Rattus norvegicus: one gene and its partner. The protein of the gene in region 2 purifies or fractionates together with the protein of the main gene of each other region. This does not show direct contact. Links are inferred from orthologs where the notes say so. Each region holds a gene or a part of one and is shown on either strand. Other genes may lie near its edges.

Evidence for each region. The genes of interacting proteins can lie anywhere in the genome.
Region 1: the proteins of Tap1 (region 2) and Tapbp purify together in Homo sapiens (co-immunoprecipitation; 6 studies listed by BioGRID and IntAct, with this or other methods). This does not show direct contact. The link is inferred for Rattus norvegicus from reciprocal best matches to the Homo sapiens genes TAP1 and TAPBP.

What each region holds. Positions count from the first base shown.
Region 1 is NC_086038.1:4,963,776-4,971,786, forward strand, and holds the start of Tapbp (tapasin precursor), read right to left. Parts: upstream 4,080-8,011; coding exon 4,043-4,079; intron 3,905-4,042; coding exon 3,731-3,904; intron 3,533-3,730; coding exon 3,272-3,532; intron 1-3,271. Other genes in the region: Zbtb22 (zinc finger and BTB domain-containing protein 22), read right to left, coding at 4,948-6,858. UniProt on the Homo sapiens protein: Involved in the association of MHC class I with transporter associated with antigen processing (TAP) and in the assembly of MHC class I with peptide (peptide loading).
Region 2 is NC_086038.1:4,656,035-4,663,528, forward strand, and holds the end of Tap1 (antigen peptide transporter 1 precursor), read right to left. Parts: intron 7,488-7,494; coding exon 7,359-7,487; intron 7,189-7,358; coding exon 7,000-7,188; intron 6,298-6,999; coding exon 6,124-6,297; intron 5,872-6,123; coding exon 5,709-5,871; intron 4,633-5,708; coding exon 4,496-4,632; intron 2,784-4,495; coding exon 2,577-2,783; 3' UTR 2,137-2,576; downstream 1-2,136. Other genes in the region: Psmb8 (proteasome subunit beta type-8), read right to left, coding at 1-125, 801-947. UniProt on the Homo sapiens protein: ABC transporter associated with antigen processing. In complex with TAP2 mediates unidirectional translocation of peptide antigens from cytosol to endoplasmic reticulum (ER) for loading onto MHC class I (MHCI) molecules.

The DNA of each region.
Region 1 (8,011 bases), about 310 kb from region 2:
CACACAGCAGGCAATGGGCCTACCACTGAGCTACGCCTCAGCTCCCTCCCCCAATCTCCAAAGGAGAAACGGAAGCCGCACTTAGTGGCTCACACAGATAACCCCGGCACATGGGAGACCATGGAGGGAGGACTGCACATACTGATAACCCCAGCACATGGGAAACTGGCAGGAGGACTGCACACTGGTAACCCCGGCACATGGGAGACCGTGGTGGGAGGACTACCATGAGTTCCAGACAAGCTTGCCTAAGACCCAGTCTCAAAAACAAACAAAAATGAGTAACGGCCAGTCAAAGTAAGAATAGGACCTACCTGGTGGGAATTCTGGGATTTCAGTCTCTTAAACAACACCACCACCACCAAGATCCCACAGCATGAGGCATGATAAGCTTTCATTTTAATCCCAGGTCTGGGATAGGGCTGCTTCAGACTGTCCATGGCAGCTGACTGATTTGCCTCGTGCTCTAGCAAAGGCGTCTGATTGTGTGATACTTGGAATTCTGGGAGCTTTTCAGAGGGTACATAAATGCTAGGACACCCCCCACAAGAGGAGGGGCAGATTGGCCATTCGGGGGGGGGGTTGCCTGCAGTTTGTTAGTCGTGCTCAAAGAAGCAACAAAAAGAAATTAGACTCAGGGATCTCTCTCTTCTATCTCTCCTTCTCTCCTATGTAGTCATAGGGAGTAACCCCAGCAGAGAAAGGGCGGGAAAAGAACAACCCACACAGTAACAAAGACCAGCTACACCAATCTGCTGAGCTACTGAGGTGGTGATGGTCATGCCATTTGCCATTTAATACCTCTGGCTAACCAAATCTGTCTCATTCCTGACTTTCGATAATAAAACCCCCTATAGGAGGCCAGTCAGTACACGGAGCACAAGAAGTTTACAAACCTCCAGCTCCGAAAAAAAGAAAAAGAAAAAAAAAAAAAAAAAGAAGTTTACAAATGAGAGCCCTCTCCAGCCACAGTTAAAGTTTTCCATACTGTCTTTTACATTTTCACTTATGTGTGTGTGTGTTCCTGCATGGTGTGCATGTGGCGGTCAGAGGACTTCCGGGAGTCAGTTCTCTCTGTGTGGACCCTGCATGAAGCTCATTTCCTCACCCTGTTGGTGAGGGCCTTTACTCAGTCACCTCAGAGGACAACATCTCTCCCTTTCCTCCCTCTTTCCCCTCTTCAATTCCTGACCTCTTTTTTACTGTCATTTGTATATGCATGTAGATTCCTAGTACAGCCTGCCTGTAACATTTCTAGAAGAGTGGTTGGAACGAAGTGCTGTGTGCACTCAATACTGAGAAAGAGAGACTCGACCCTGGCTGGGCAGCTCCACGGCCAGTTGTGTGTCCAGCACGAGCAAGGCCTGGCCCTGAACCCAAACCAGGGTGATTTCCTACCCTAGTGTTCTGTGAAAACAATCATTCAGGAGAGGCGGCCTAGGCCTGCTGCAGCAGCTTCTGGAAGGTGACAGAGAGCTTCCCTGATGCTGGTTCAGTCCCCTGGGGATGAGGGGAGGGGCCTGATAGCAACGAATAAAGCCATGTCACGGTTCTTTTTATATAAGATTTGTACGTGCACTGGTGTCCGCCTGTATGTATGTCTGTGTGAGCGTGCCAACTGCTCTATAGCACACAGAGTTACAGCCGTGACCTGCCCTGCGAAAGGTCAGCCAGTCCTCTTAACTGATGACCCATCTACCCAACCCCGTTTTCATGGGTTTCTAGTCAAGCAGGTATGACCTGATGTGATGAGGAAGAGGGGATACAGTGACTTGATTTCACCCCAGAGTCCATGAGAAATGATCGGTCAGTCCTGGCCCAGAGCACTCTAGGAGCCCAGACAAGGGCCTAGAGGGTGACTTTAAACCAATCCTGCACTTCCGGGGATCCAAGTTGGGTTCCCAGCACCCAGGCCACATGGCTCACAGCCACCTGTAGCCCAGCTCTGGAGGGTCCAACGGCTGCTCCTAGATTCCCTAGGCAGCTGCACTCACATGCACAGACCCATACCTAGACACACACACAAGTAAAACCAACTTGGAAATAACTGACAGTCACTGAGCCACACACTCCTGCCCTGCAGAAGTCACATGGGACTGGACTGTCTACAACAGATGTGAGAAACACGCTGAGCCTCTCACCGATCACCCGTCACTGAGCACACAGGGCCACCCTGCACGCTGCGATTCACACACCCAAGCTTTCAGTATGTTCTTTGCTAATTATCTGGAGCTTGATCTGGGAACCTCGGGGTCCTAACTGTCTCTTGGTGCTAATAACATTTATTGGATCAGTGAGCAGCACAGCGCCTTGCTTCACTGCTACAAAGAAAAGTAACTGGGAAGAACCTACTTTCTACAGTTGGGAAGAAACAGACCCATAGGACAAAGGCTGTGGTCGCCACCGCCATCCCCCATTAAGACCAACGATGTGAGGGCCGGTTCTCTTGAGAGAACTACTGTCCCCACAACGGGCCTGAATAGGGTGGAGCTGAGAGAGGAGGTGCTGGCAGAGCTGAGGGTTTCAGACTGCCCCCCTTAGGAGTTTCAAATGATGAAGACAAAGGACTCAGGGAGTTCGGTGAGAGTATTTGCATAAAAACACCAGAAATGGAAAAGGCAGATGGTTCTGTCTTCCTGTTAGGTGGTGCCCGAGGAGAAGAGCAGACGCTCAGAGGCGTTCAAGACAGATCTACCCCATTTCTGCACATCTGCCCATGGAGTGCCCTCTTCCCCTGTCCAGCACAGCAAAGTGGTGGACCTCTGGGAACTCTGCTGCACCGCACTCTATTTAGTGAGTGAGACAGTGGCCTTTGCAGGAGAATCCACCGCTTCGGCCGTGTCCCTTCTGCCCACTAGAGGCCACCGTTGAGGCACTCAAGACCATGGCCGAGAGACTCAGGAAGAGGTTCCTTGCTGGACAGGCTGTCCTTAGGCTAGAGTGAGCTTTGAAGAGACTCAAAGTGTGATTTTTGAAACCTGGGACGAGTGCAGAAAAGAACTCGGGTGTCGGGACTCCTAACCTTATGAGTTTCTCAAACTCTGGTTTCTGGAAACCGACACCCTGACCGCCTCCCCAGTCCCTCTGCAAAGCCCCGCCCCCAAACCACAGCAGGTTTCAATTTTACTCTCCCCCTACAATGAAAGGTGAAGATTGTCTAACCCTTAACAGAAAAAATATACTGATCCTCCAACTCTTGGCGAGTCGCCGAACTGGCCAATCTAGACCCTTAAAAGCTACCCATCCATCTCCCGCTTCTCTTCAGGGCTACCTGTTGCCATGGTGATGAAGACAGGCTCCCGCTGAGGCTCCGGCAGTGGTCGCAGCAGGCTGGAGAGGCTGAAGACCGTGCCGGATACGCTGACCATCAGCCAATCCCCGTCCAGGGCCCGCGAGCAGTTCTGCTGCGGACTCAGACCCCTAGCCCACTTCGCCGAGGCGGGGAACGGGATGTAGCTGCTCATCTCGCAGTGTGGGGCGTGGGCGCCTGCGGGGTACCGCCTGAAGGCAGCCAGGAGCATTCCCGCCGGGTCTGCGGAACCGAGAAGGATGTAGCGGTAGGCCCGGCTGGAAACGTGCTGACTGTACACAGGCCGGAAGGCACAAACTAGCAAAGTAGTGAGCGACTTAGAGAGTATCCAAACTTATTTACAAAGGGGAAAACTGAGGCCCGGGGACCCTACGTGAGCTAAGAGGAGGCGACAGACGCAGCTGAGTCCCGAAGACTCACCATCCACCTTGAAGTATAGCTTAGGGTCAAGATCTGGCCGGGGCGGCGGTCCCCTGGGTCCATGGCGCAGTAGCAATGTGGCAGGTTTCTTGGACAGGCCACCCCCACCTGCATCCTCCACGAACCAGCACTCAATCGTCTGTGGTCCAGCCGAGACCACCACGGTCGCCAGGCCTGGGGAAGAGGGGCTCCGGTGACCAGGCTGCCACAAGGTGTCCGGGACCGGCCCGCCCTTCAGACCCGCGATGGGATCACCTCCCTCTCCTTCCCAATGTGTCCTTTCCTAAACGAGAAGGAATGGGGTCCGCTCACCCAGTGCCACAACGACGAGCAGGGGAAGAAGCTTCATGGTGCTGCGATCTCCCCTACCAAGTCTGTTTCCTTTCACTTTCATTTTCCCTCAAAGGCGGGGGGTGAGGAACTGGAAATTCCCTGCGCTGGTCAGGTGAGGGCGTGACTGCGCGCTGGAGGAACGCAGCCCGCAAGGGCCAAACAGAGATCCCGAAACCCTGTCTCGGGCTCTCCGGCCCCTCCTCGCCCTGCACCCACACGCGTGGATCACCCGACAGCGCGCCAACTTTGAGCCTTTAGCAGCTTAGGCTCCGCCCTCGGGCTGCGCCCTCTTAGCGCCACCTCCCTTAGAACCATACTCCTGCGTCCCCCGACCTGTGTCAGCTCCCAGCAAACAGAGGGGTGTTGGGAAACCAAGTGAAGTGACCAATAAATATTTTAATCACCGTTAAAAATTAAGACCTATACTACGCGGCTCACCCCTTGTCTCCGCCCACTTTCATGACAACCCAATTTGGGATCCTCATGGCAAGGGTGGGATAGTACAGGAATAAGGGGCGCATCCTTCAAGAGGAGTCTCAAAGGCCTCGTCCCACAACACAAACACAGACTTCAGGCACAAATTAGCACAACCTGACTGTTGGCCCTGCGACTCCAGGATGCTCAAAATGTCCCTTTTCCATCCCCCCACCGTCTTGGCACTACTCCGTGAAGGTGGGGCTCTGGTGTGCTCAAGGGAGAAGAAAAACTGCTTAGTTCCGGAGATATCGAGGAAGGGGCTAAGGAATGGAACGGGCTATCGATGGTGCAGCCTATGCCCTTCTCTAGAATATATACAAGTCCACAGAGATAAGGGAAGACGGTTTGGTGGGGAAAACCCCGGGAGCCACGTTGCCCTTAGACTAAGCTCCCCGATAGCCTGTCCTTCAGTGTGCTGCTCCTCCACCCCCACTGAAATCCATCTCGACTTTGTGCACGCTGGGTGGTGACCAGACACGCCTATTAGACGGGGGTGTGGCCGAATTCGCCTCATCGCCACTGCCCCCACCCACTGCGGAGGACTCCCTCTTGGGTTGCAGTGCTGGCCCTGTGGGTGCCCCCGGTCCAGGTCCAGGTACCGATGCGGCCCCGCCCGCGCCCATCCGGTGCCGGCGCTCACAGTGACCCCGGTGACGCATGAAACTGTCCCGCCACATGAACTTCTTGGCGCAGACACTGCATTCGTAGGGCTTGAGGCCTGTGTGCGTCTTCATGTGCTCGGTCAGGTGGTGTTTCATCTTGAACTTCTTGTTGCACACGGGGCAGTCAAAGGGTCGCAGGTTGAGATGCATATTCACGTGCCGGTCCCGCATACTCTTATGTGAGAAAGCCTTCCCACAGTGGCAAAGAAAGATCTTATTCCCGTCGCTGTTGCCTGCCCCTCCGGGGGTCCCCCCAGAGCCACTTGGTATGCCCAGACCCACCGCAGAGGCACCCCCTAGGGTCACTGCCCCGTGTTCTGCTGTGTTCCCTGGTGGCTGGCCTGGAGCCTGCGAGGAGGAGGATGGGAAAACCAAGATCTGGTTGCCTGGCACATCCAATGGAAGAAGGGGTCGTGGAGGGTGGGTGAGGCCATAGGAGGAAGGGGTGGGGCCTCCAGGGTCATCAAGTCCTGCCCCAGCGCCACCACCCTCATAGGGGCCAAAGTCATTGGAGGATTCACAGAAGTTCACCTGTTCCTCCCCCTTTTCTGCAGGCTCCGTCAAGGTCCGAACGTCACTGATACTGAGGGTAGCCTCGGGCTCTCCCCCTGCAGGAACCCCAGAGCCATTCCCCAGGTCTTCATCCTCGTCATCCTCACAAGTCAACACCAGATCTTCCTCCTCTTCCTCATCCTCTAGATCGGGGTCTTGGTGGACCAGCGATGCTGGTGCAGGGCAATTTCTAGCTCGCTTCACATACACCCAGTGTTTCTGTGGCACTGCACTGGCAGGCAGGCAGTTGGGCCTCCGGAGCCCAGCCCCAGGGGCCGCCGCCCCTCTCCCATCCCCACCGTCATCACATAGCTCATCGGCCTCTAGCAGCAACTTCCCAGAGGTGGTACCCGCACTGCCAACCACAGGGACTGGGAACACGGGGCCACCATCTCGACGGTTCCCACTACCCACTGCTGAGGCCACAAATGCATCTTGGGAGGAAGAGGAGAAATCAGTCGACTCCCGGGGGCTGAAGTAGTTGCTACTGCTGGGAGACTGATTCTCACTGGCCCGGCTGGAGGTATGGGAACGTACAGAGCCTACAGTGGCAGGGGCAACGGTGCCCCCGCTCCCTGATGGGACACTGGCACAAGGGACAGAGACAGAGGGGGCTGCAACAGCAGTGACAGTGGTAGTAGCGGCTGAAGATCGACCCTCCCGAAGGAGTTCAGTGCACTTATCCACAATGTGCCACATCTGGAGGACCGACCCCACTGTGAGGAAGTTGACAATGTCCGCAGCAGCCATGCTGAGGCGGCCCGTGTACGCTGAGGCCAGGACAGTCTCAAAAGCGCCTGGGTCCATGACGCTGGGCAGTGAGATGGAAGTCATGCCTTTGAGTAGGACCTGGTCGTGGAAGTAAGGAGAGGAGGCAGCCAAGACGGCCCTGTGAGCACGGAACTCCCGTCCCTGCACGCGGATAGACACATCGCAGAGCTGACCCTGGAGCCGCTGCTGGTTGAGGGACTCCAGGAGGGCACTGGTCACCTCAGGGAAGGACACGTGTACCACTGCAGCTGCCGGCAGAGGCAGTGGTGGTGGAGCCAGTGACAGAGGCAGTGGGAGTGTGGCCCCACTGGGTGACATAGGAGATGGCTCCATGTTGTGGAAGGAGATACCCCCCCAGCCACAGGAACAAAGGAAAGAAGAGGGCGGCCGGGGGGGTCTCTAGGGGGAAAAAAAAGAGAATAATACAGCATTTTGAAAAGACATAGACCATCACAGTATAAAAAAAAAGAAAAATCACTGAGATAAATAGGTACACCTCTCAACCCCATGGGACAGATGGGGCAACTGAGGCCCAGAATTAATCAAGAAAAACATCCAAGTACACCTACCAAACGACATCAAATCAAACCTCAGCGCTAGCAGAGAAAGTATTCCAACTCCAAGTTTAGTACTCTTTCCTAGGTCAGAAAATAGGGGGCTCTCAGGGAATGGGTGTCTATCCTTGTCTACAGCTGCCCCCGAGCCTCACTTAAAAAAAAAAAAAAAAAAAAAACCGCCTCTCCTTGGTGTTACGTACCAATTTTCTTGGGGCGAAGGGGTGTCCTCCACAGTTTTCAAGCTCCTCCCCCGACAGCCCCCAGTTAATTCCCCGACTCCGCCCCTTCAGGACCCTCCAGGGCTCCGCCCCCTAGATCCCCGACCCCGCCTCGTGTTTGCCCCCGCCCCCCGAACCCCGCCCCCCACTCCTCCCCAATCGCGTCCTTGGACTGTCCCCCGGCCTGAGGGGGCCCCCAGCCCCGCGCGCCCCCGCTTACCTGGCCGCGCGCCCCCGGGCCCCCCCTCACTCGGCGACCAGAGCCGCAGCCCCAGCCCCTCCCGCCGCCATCTTGTGCCGACTCCCTCCGCCCTCCGCCTCCACTCCTCCTCCCCGACCAGCGACCTTAAAGGCGCAGGACAGCACCCCTCCTGTGCCGCTGGGGAAAATTCGACCGACACCAACACTTTCCCTTTAAAGGACCGGCTCTTCATTCCTCCTTAAAGGTACCGGGTCCCATCTGCGGCTAAGGACTCAGGAATTGATTTGGCCGAAGCCTTCGCTCCCCTTTAATCCTGCAAGCCTACCTTTTCCCATTGACCAGTACTGGCTTCCGCTCCTCAGGCTCCACCCCGAGCCCTGGACATTAGCTCGCTCGCGGGATCTAACAGCCCTTTTCCCAGCGTATGACAGAACCCCTGAAGCCCCGCCCTCTTCCTCCGGGCCAGGATTGGTCAAATAACCTTGAGTCAGCCCCTGATTGGCCTTTTC
Region 2 (7,494 bases):
CTGGAGTCCACCGCCACGATGACTCCATGCTGGAACTTGAAGGCCAGCGTGGTTGTGCCGTGCGCCATTTCAATCTGAACCTTCCTTTCCTGGTCATCACCAAAGGACCTTAGGAATTCAGTGGGCTGAGAGAGGGAAGAGGCCTCAGTTCTAGGAGGCTCCCGGCAGGGTTTCGGGGTGAGGAGGGGTCCGCAGACCCTAGAGGGCAATGTCTCAGAAGAAGGGAAAGCAGGATCTAAGCCAGCTTTCTGCCTTCGGGAACACGGGAGCAAAGGCCATGGTAGCCGACTTCAAGGTGTTTCCTGATCCGTGGCTCCTTCGGTTCTCGAAAAGCACATTTTAATAACGTATTCTCGTTTTACGGTAGAGGGGCTTGAGGCCTAGGCCACCTAACGTGTCCTAGGATACATAGGGAGGGTTGCTGAGGCCAGGTTAGCCTCTCAAGTTCATTGGTCTTCCAAGACAACTGTGCAGTCCCTGTAGTCGTTACTCGTGGGTCTGTGAAGGCATGGCGAGTTGTGCATGGTATCTTGGGGTGGGCACCAACCATCTTCTCAGTCTCTCTGTGGCTCCTCCATGTGTGTGTCTCTCTCCCTCTCTCCCTCCCCCACCCCTTTCTCATCCTCCCTCCTTCCAGCCTTCCCATGTTAACTAACTTCAGGGCTGGCCTGGATGCTGCTCTTCTGAACAGCCCCTCCATGCTTCCTCACCTCCTCAGACCCAGGCAGACAGTCCTTCCTACGTGCCGCCACCACCACCACCCACCCCCTGCATCTCTCAAGAACCCCTACAGTCCTCACCTGCATTCCCCGGGGAAGCGCGAGCTCCGGAGCTTGCACGGAGAAACTGTAGTGTCCCGGGTCCGAGCGAAGCCCGCTTCCTGCATCCACGGCAGCCCACTCGGGCCGCTGCCCCCGAGGAGCGCCGCACAGATCCAGTAACGCCATGACGACTTAGCCCCGGAGATCCGTCGACTCTCGGACAAGGAAGTGAAAGCGAAAGCCACAGCACCAAGAGGAGGGAACCAGTCCCCCACCCCCAACCCCTGCCCTTTCCGAGTAGAGCCCAATTAACGGGTGTCTGAACTAAAAATATGTTAGGGACAAGTTTTCCTGATGCCACGTCGATGAAAACCAGCTAGAGAGTGGGCTGTGGGATAAAAGAAGAGGTGCGCCTTCGGAGGCCACCTAGCAGTGGGGTACTTGAGGACTCACAGTCGGGGCGAGGGGCATCTTCTGGGAACAGCTGAGGACTGGATAGGGTCCTGTCACCTTAAAGAGGTTCTCTAGAAAGTTGGAACCCAAGAGAAGCATTGAGCAGATTCACCTAGGCGTGCGTCCTGGGGATGGGGGCAGCACTTAAATGAGCATCGTTTTATAGAAACTGGAAAATGCGATAAATAGTTGCACGGGGTCTTTAAGTCCTGAGACGACCAGGGGAAAAAAAATGGGGAAGGACGAACCAAGGAGAGGGCACAGTTCGGGTCTTTCTATGTGTCCTTTCTAGGGCCCCTCTCGGTCCAACAGTCTCACTACCCTGAGGCAACCCACGTGGACGCTCCCTTCTCCCTGGGCTGTTCACGTCGCGCAAGTCAGAGCTGAGCGCTCCTTCCTTGAATCCTAAACCCCACCTCTCTTTCCAACCTTTGCGGACCTTATCTGCCCAGCAACTGCTGACGTCACGCCACCGGGCCCTCCCTGTATGGAAGAGATTTACTGGCTAATCCTTTCCGTTTCATTAAGATTACTCCGGCGTGTGCGGCTGAGGAGAAGGTGAGAGGTTCAGAAAAATCAGAGCCAGCGAGGTAATCCAGTCTGGAGTTCTGGAGTCCCCCACCCCCACCCCCACCCCGCTGCGCTGCCGCGCCTCCTCCAGCCTCAGCGAGGAAGAGAGGGGCTCCTAGATGCAGCTGCTGATGCCTTGGAGTGCGGGGACAGAGGGGCTGCCGCCTGGTCCTGCTCAGCACTAGGAGTCGGTGGGTGGGTAGGGAAGAGAAATGAGAGCGCCAGGAAGATGATGGACCCGGCAGTAAAACAGAATTCTGAAGAAGAACGGGACACTGGGCTGTGTGTGGGGAAGGGTGCTGGCTAACTCATCGAGCAGTTTGTGGGAGCTAAGAAACAGGAGAAACCACGGTACAAAACACCAGTTTTATTATAAATATCGAGAACCCGCAGAATACCCATAGGCCAGCCTATGCCTTTGGTTAATTGCAAGCTATTTGCCCCTTCTCTGTACATTTTGGGCGTTTCTTCTCATTCTGTCCCAACGCCACATAAGCCAGGTTTGTGGGTGCATGCCGTGATGCAAACTCCACGGGAGACAGGAGACTCAGCAGCTCAGTGTTAGCCTGGGGTACCTACCCCCATCCCCCGTCTAACAGGGGGCGGGGCGGGAAAACATTGGTGGTAAATTCCGGGCATCTCCTAGAGGTTACATTTTTCTCATGTAACAAACACCATCGCTCCTCAACTATCTCCGTGGATGTGGTAAAATCTTTGCTCCCAGGTTCTCTGCCACACAGAGCAGAGGACAGCAGGGGGAGGGACTCGCGCAGCGTGCAGTCCAGAAGCCGGTCAGTCTGAAGGAGCCGCAAGAGCCTCCACCATGGACCGGTAACACCCTCCTCTCTCCATGAGCTGCAGGTGGGTGCCCTGCTCGCAGACAGAGCCTTCTTTGAGGAAGAGGATGTGGTGGGCCCGCTCTGCCAGGCTGAGCTGCTGGGTGATCAGAAGAACCGTCCGAGAGGCCCACTCGGGGCTCTCATACAGGAGCCGCTGGACCTGCAGAAACACACAGTCCTTACAGTCCGGGGCCTCTACCGTCCAGGAGCCCCCTGTGCTTCCAAGGCTGGGACACATTGTCACTTCCCAAGGATGCCGATATCCCGGGTCTGGAGCGCCTCTCCAAACCTTTGATTATTTTTTAAGGCGTCTTCTCAAGAGGTGGTACAGATAGATGAAGAGCGGGAGCACGAGGGGGAGGGGACTGCATAGTCTCTCATCTCTATCCGTAAGCCGGGAATTTTTTTTTTTTTTTCGGAGCTGGGGACCGAACCCAGGGCCTTGCGCTTGCTACCAAGCGCTCTACCACCGAGCTAAATCTCCAACCCCTAAGCCGGGAAATTCTTAAAGAAAATTATTCTTCTCCCATATATTATATTCCGACTGCTCTTCCCCCTTCCTCCTCTCCTCCCAGTCCCTCCTCCTCACCCCACCACCACGCCTCCATTTTCCTTGGGGTGGGGGGGAGCAAGCCTCCCAAGGACATCAACCAAACACTACACACTAAGTTGCAGTAAGACTAGGGTTGCCTCGTCCAGCCTTAAGATGTGGGAATATTTTTTGCATTCAAGAATATATATTAATTTATGCTTTGAGAATGTCATGCATGACTATAATGAAATATAATCATACCACCTCCTCTTCTCCTCTCAACACCCACCCCACACGTCACATTTCCTATGTCATACACATTTCTAATAACCCACTAATAAACTGAGAAGATTGTTTATAATTTATTTTTGTTTTAGGTTCATTGGCATTTTGCCTGTGTGAGGGTGTCAGAAACCCTGGAACTGGAGTTGCAGACGGTTGTGAGCTGCCATGTGGGTGCTGGGAATTGAACCCAGGTCCTGTGGAAGAACAGCCAGTGCTCTTAACTGCTGAGCCATCTCTCCAGCCTCTAAGCTGGGAAATTTTATATCCAATTTAGAGAAATGTAATGCAGGGGCAGGGGCTCAGCAGTTAAGAGCACTGGCTGCTCTTCCAGAGGTCCAGGGTTTGAGTTTCAACATCCACATGGTGGTTCACAACCATCCATAAGTCTAGTTCCAGGGGATCCATACCTTCTTCTGACTTTCAAAGACACTAGGTACATACATACATACATACATACATACATACATACATACATACATACATACATACAAGCAAGACACTCAAACACATAAAATAAATCTTATTTTTTAAAGAAATGTAACAGTAACAAAGAACACGAGAATTTGGATGACTTGTATCTGGACCCAGGCTCCATTGCTCGATTGCTGTGTGACTTTTGGAAGGTTAATCAACCTCTCTTATCATCTACAGAACAAGCGCAACAAAGGACTCTGATAGGCAAAGTAGTGCAGGGTGGGATAGAACGCCTGAAACACAAAGCAGGCTAAGCCCACACAGACTCTTAGGTCAGGAGCTCCGTTCACTGGTTCCTGGTGTCCTGGGGAAAAGCCAATGGGAACTGAGAATTCCCAGGACAGGTTTGAATAGTTATGTTGTTGGTGTAACTAACACAGGATGAATAACAGAAGCAAAGCTCCCATGCGAATGAGACTTCAGGAAGATGACACAGCAGGGTGACCACACCCTCCAGAGGCAGCAGGGGAAAGATTACCAAGAATCCGAGGACAGCATGGTCTCCAAAGTGAGGTCCAGGCCAGCCGAGACCACACAGCAAGATGGCTAAAAAAGACAGAAGATAAGAACCAGGGCCTCACCCGTAGCTGGTTGCCAGCATCCAGGGCACTGGTGGCATCGTCCAAGATAAGCAGGCGTGGCTTCCGGATCAAGGCTCGAGCCAAGGCCACCGCCTGTCGCTGACCTCCTGACAGCTGGTTCCCAGTTTCACCTACCTCTGCAGAGACAAGAGTCCAGCTGAGAAGTCGACAGGTGTGTACACACATGCACAGACACACTTCTGTACACAGACACACAGACATACTCACATACACAGACACACTCACATACACAGACACACAGACACACTTCTGTACACAGACACACTCATATACACAGACACTCACATACACACATACATACACACTCACATACACACATACATACACACTCACATACACACATACATACACACTCACATACACCCAGACACACTCACATACACAGACACACTCACATACACACATGCATACACACTCACATACACAGACACACATACATACACAGACACACACAGACACACTCACATACACAGACACACACACACATACACAGACACACAGACACACTCACATACATACACACATTCACACTCACATACATACATATACATACATACACACTCACATGCACACACACACATACATACACAAACACACAGACACACTCACATACATACACACATATACACTCACATACACACACATATATATACACACATACACACACATAAATTCCCTAAGGGTATGAGACACACTCACATACACAGATACACAGACATAAACACACACATACACATTCACACACACATATCCACATATATACACAGACACATATACACACACACATACACACTCATATACACACATATATCACATACATTCCCTCAGGGTATGATATACACTCATGTACACAGACACACATACACACTCACTCACACACAGACATACACACACATATACACACTGACACACACAGACACACACACATATACACACACAGAGACATACACACACAGTCACACACATACACACACAGACACATACACACTCATACACACACACACACACACACACACACACACACGTACACGCAGCTGACGGGGCAGCTGGAAAGGGAGGCCCTCTGCAAGGGAATGGAGTCCTGTGAATCTTAGAAACAAGAGTTTCAACTACAAATCGGTATCCAAGGGTCAGGAGGGATTGAATAATAAAGGCAGGGGTGGTTGCAGTCCGGATGTGAGAAGGCAGATACCTGTGTCATAGCCCTGAGGGAATCCAGAGATGAAATCGTGGGCTCCGGACTCCATGGCCACAGCTGTGATTTCCTCCATGGTTGGAGTCCGCGTCAGGCCATAGGCAATATTTTCCCGAAAACTTCTTCCAAATAGCAGTGGCTCTTGTCCCACTGCGGCCACCTGAGGTGAAATGTGAAGAGGAACAGGCAAGAAACACAGAAGTGTCGTTGGCTGGGAACTGAAGAGTCACAACCGGGTGCACACCATACGGTCACGTGTCCTTCTACACACAGCCCCGACTCTGCTGGCCCCGACTCTGCTGGCCCTGACTCTGCTGGCCCTGACTCGCTGACCCTGACTCTCTGAAAGGGTTTTCTCAGACAATTTTCTCTTGGCTTGCTCTCCTCCCCTCCCCCACACCTTCTTGCTCACCTGCGTGTGCAGGTAGTGGTGATCATACTGGACCAGGAGCTCGCCATCCAGGAGCACCTTGCCCCCGGTGGGCTGGTACAGGTTCTGCAGCAGGGCGGCCACGGTGCTCTTCCCTGACCCATTGGGTCCCACCAAGGCAGTCACCTTCCCGGGATACAGCGTAAAAGTCAGCCCCTGGAGGCCAGAGAAGCACACGGTAGAAACATTTGGAGGCCTTTGTCACTCAGTGTGCAACACAGCATCTTACCCACGAGGACCAAAGAACGCACAGCAATCCCTACCCCTCTATGCACGGACTTCTGAAACGACATCGGGGAGGGAGAAGAGAGAGGGGCTGGGGCATAGGAATGGGCAAGAAGCATCCCTGGGCGTAGCAGCGGAGGGTGGAGGGAGAGCATTCCCTCCCAGAAGCGCAAATCTAGTCTCCTGCACAATTGGCAGGTGGAACACGTGTTGCTAACTCCTTCGTTAAAAGAGCTTTATCTTTTAAAAAAAATTAGATTTATTCATTTTTACGTGTACGAGTGTTTGGCCAGCATGTAGACACGCATGCCACGTTCATGCCTTGTACCCCTAGAAGTCAAAAGAGGGCGTAGGGTCCCCTGGAACAGGAGTAGGTGGTTGTGAGTGCCTGGGAACCAGGGTCCTCTGCAAAAGCACTGCATGCTCTTGGCTACTAAGCCATCCTGAGCCCCAGAAGCCTTCTCCTCGAGGCCTCTTCCCCCCCTCGCCCCATAGTGTTATTAGAAGACCAAGCTAGTTCTTTGGGTGGGGTGATTTATAGACACATGGTTCTCATTGTCACCTTTGAGGTTAGGGAGGGCCTGGGTCACTGGCAAGAAGCCGGAAGAGGTGAAAGGGATGGGTGGACAGTACCTGAAGCACCTGGACGTTGGGATGGTTTGGGTAGGCAAAGGAGACATCTTGGAACTTGACGAGGCCTTTCATGTTTAAAGGTGCCAGTGAGCCACTGAGCGGAGAGCAGGGAGTCCGGTCCAGGTATTCGAATATTTTCTCCGAGGCGCCCACGGACTTCTGCATGGAGGGATAGATGGAGAGCAGGACCTGCATCGCAGAGTGGAGTGTGGGTGAGCCTGGCATGGACCATGAAAGCAGGTGTGCCGTCTAACCAGCTCGACAGCATTCAGTGAACAGGCAGTGGGTGAGCAAAGCCCAAGAAGCTGCAACACAAGGGCAGGCAGGGACCGCCCAGGCATTTCGGGGGCGGGGCTCACCTCCACGGCCCTGGTGAACTGAAGCTGGTAGAGAACAAAGGAGACGAGGTTGCCGCTGCTGACAGCCCCTCTGACCACCAGCTGCCCACCGAGGTACAGAATTCCCACCTTCAGCAGCATTCCCGAGACCTACAAG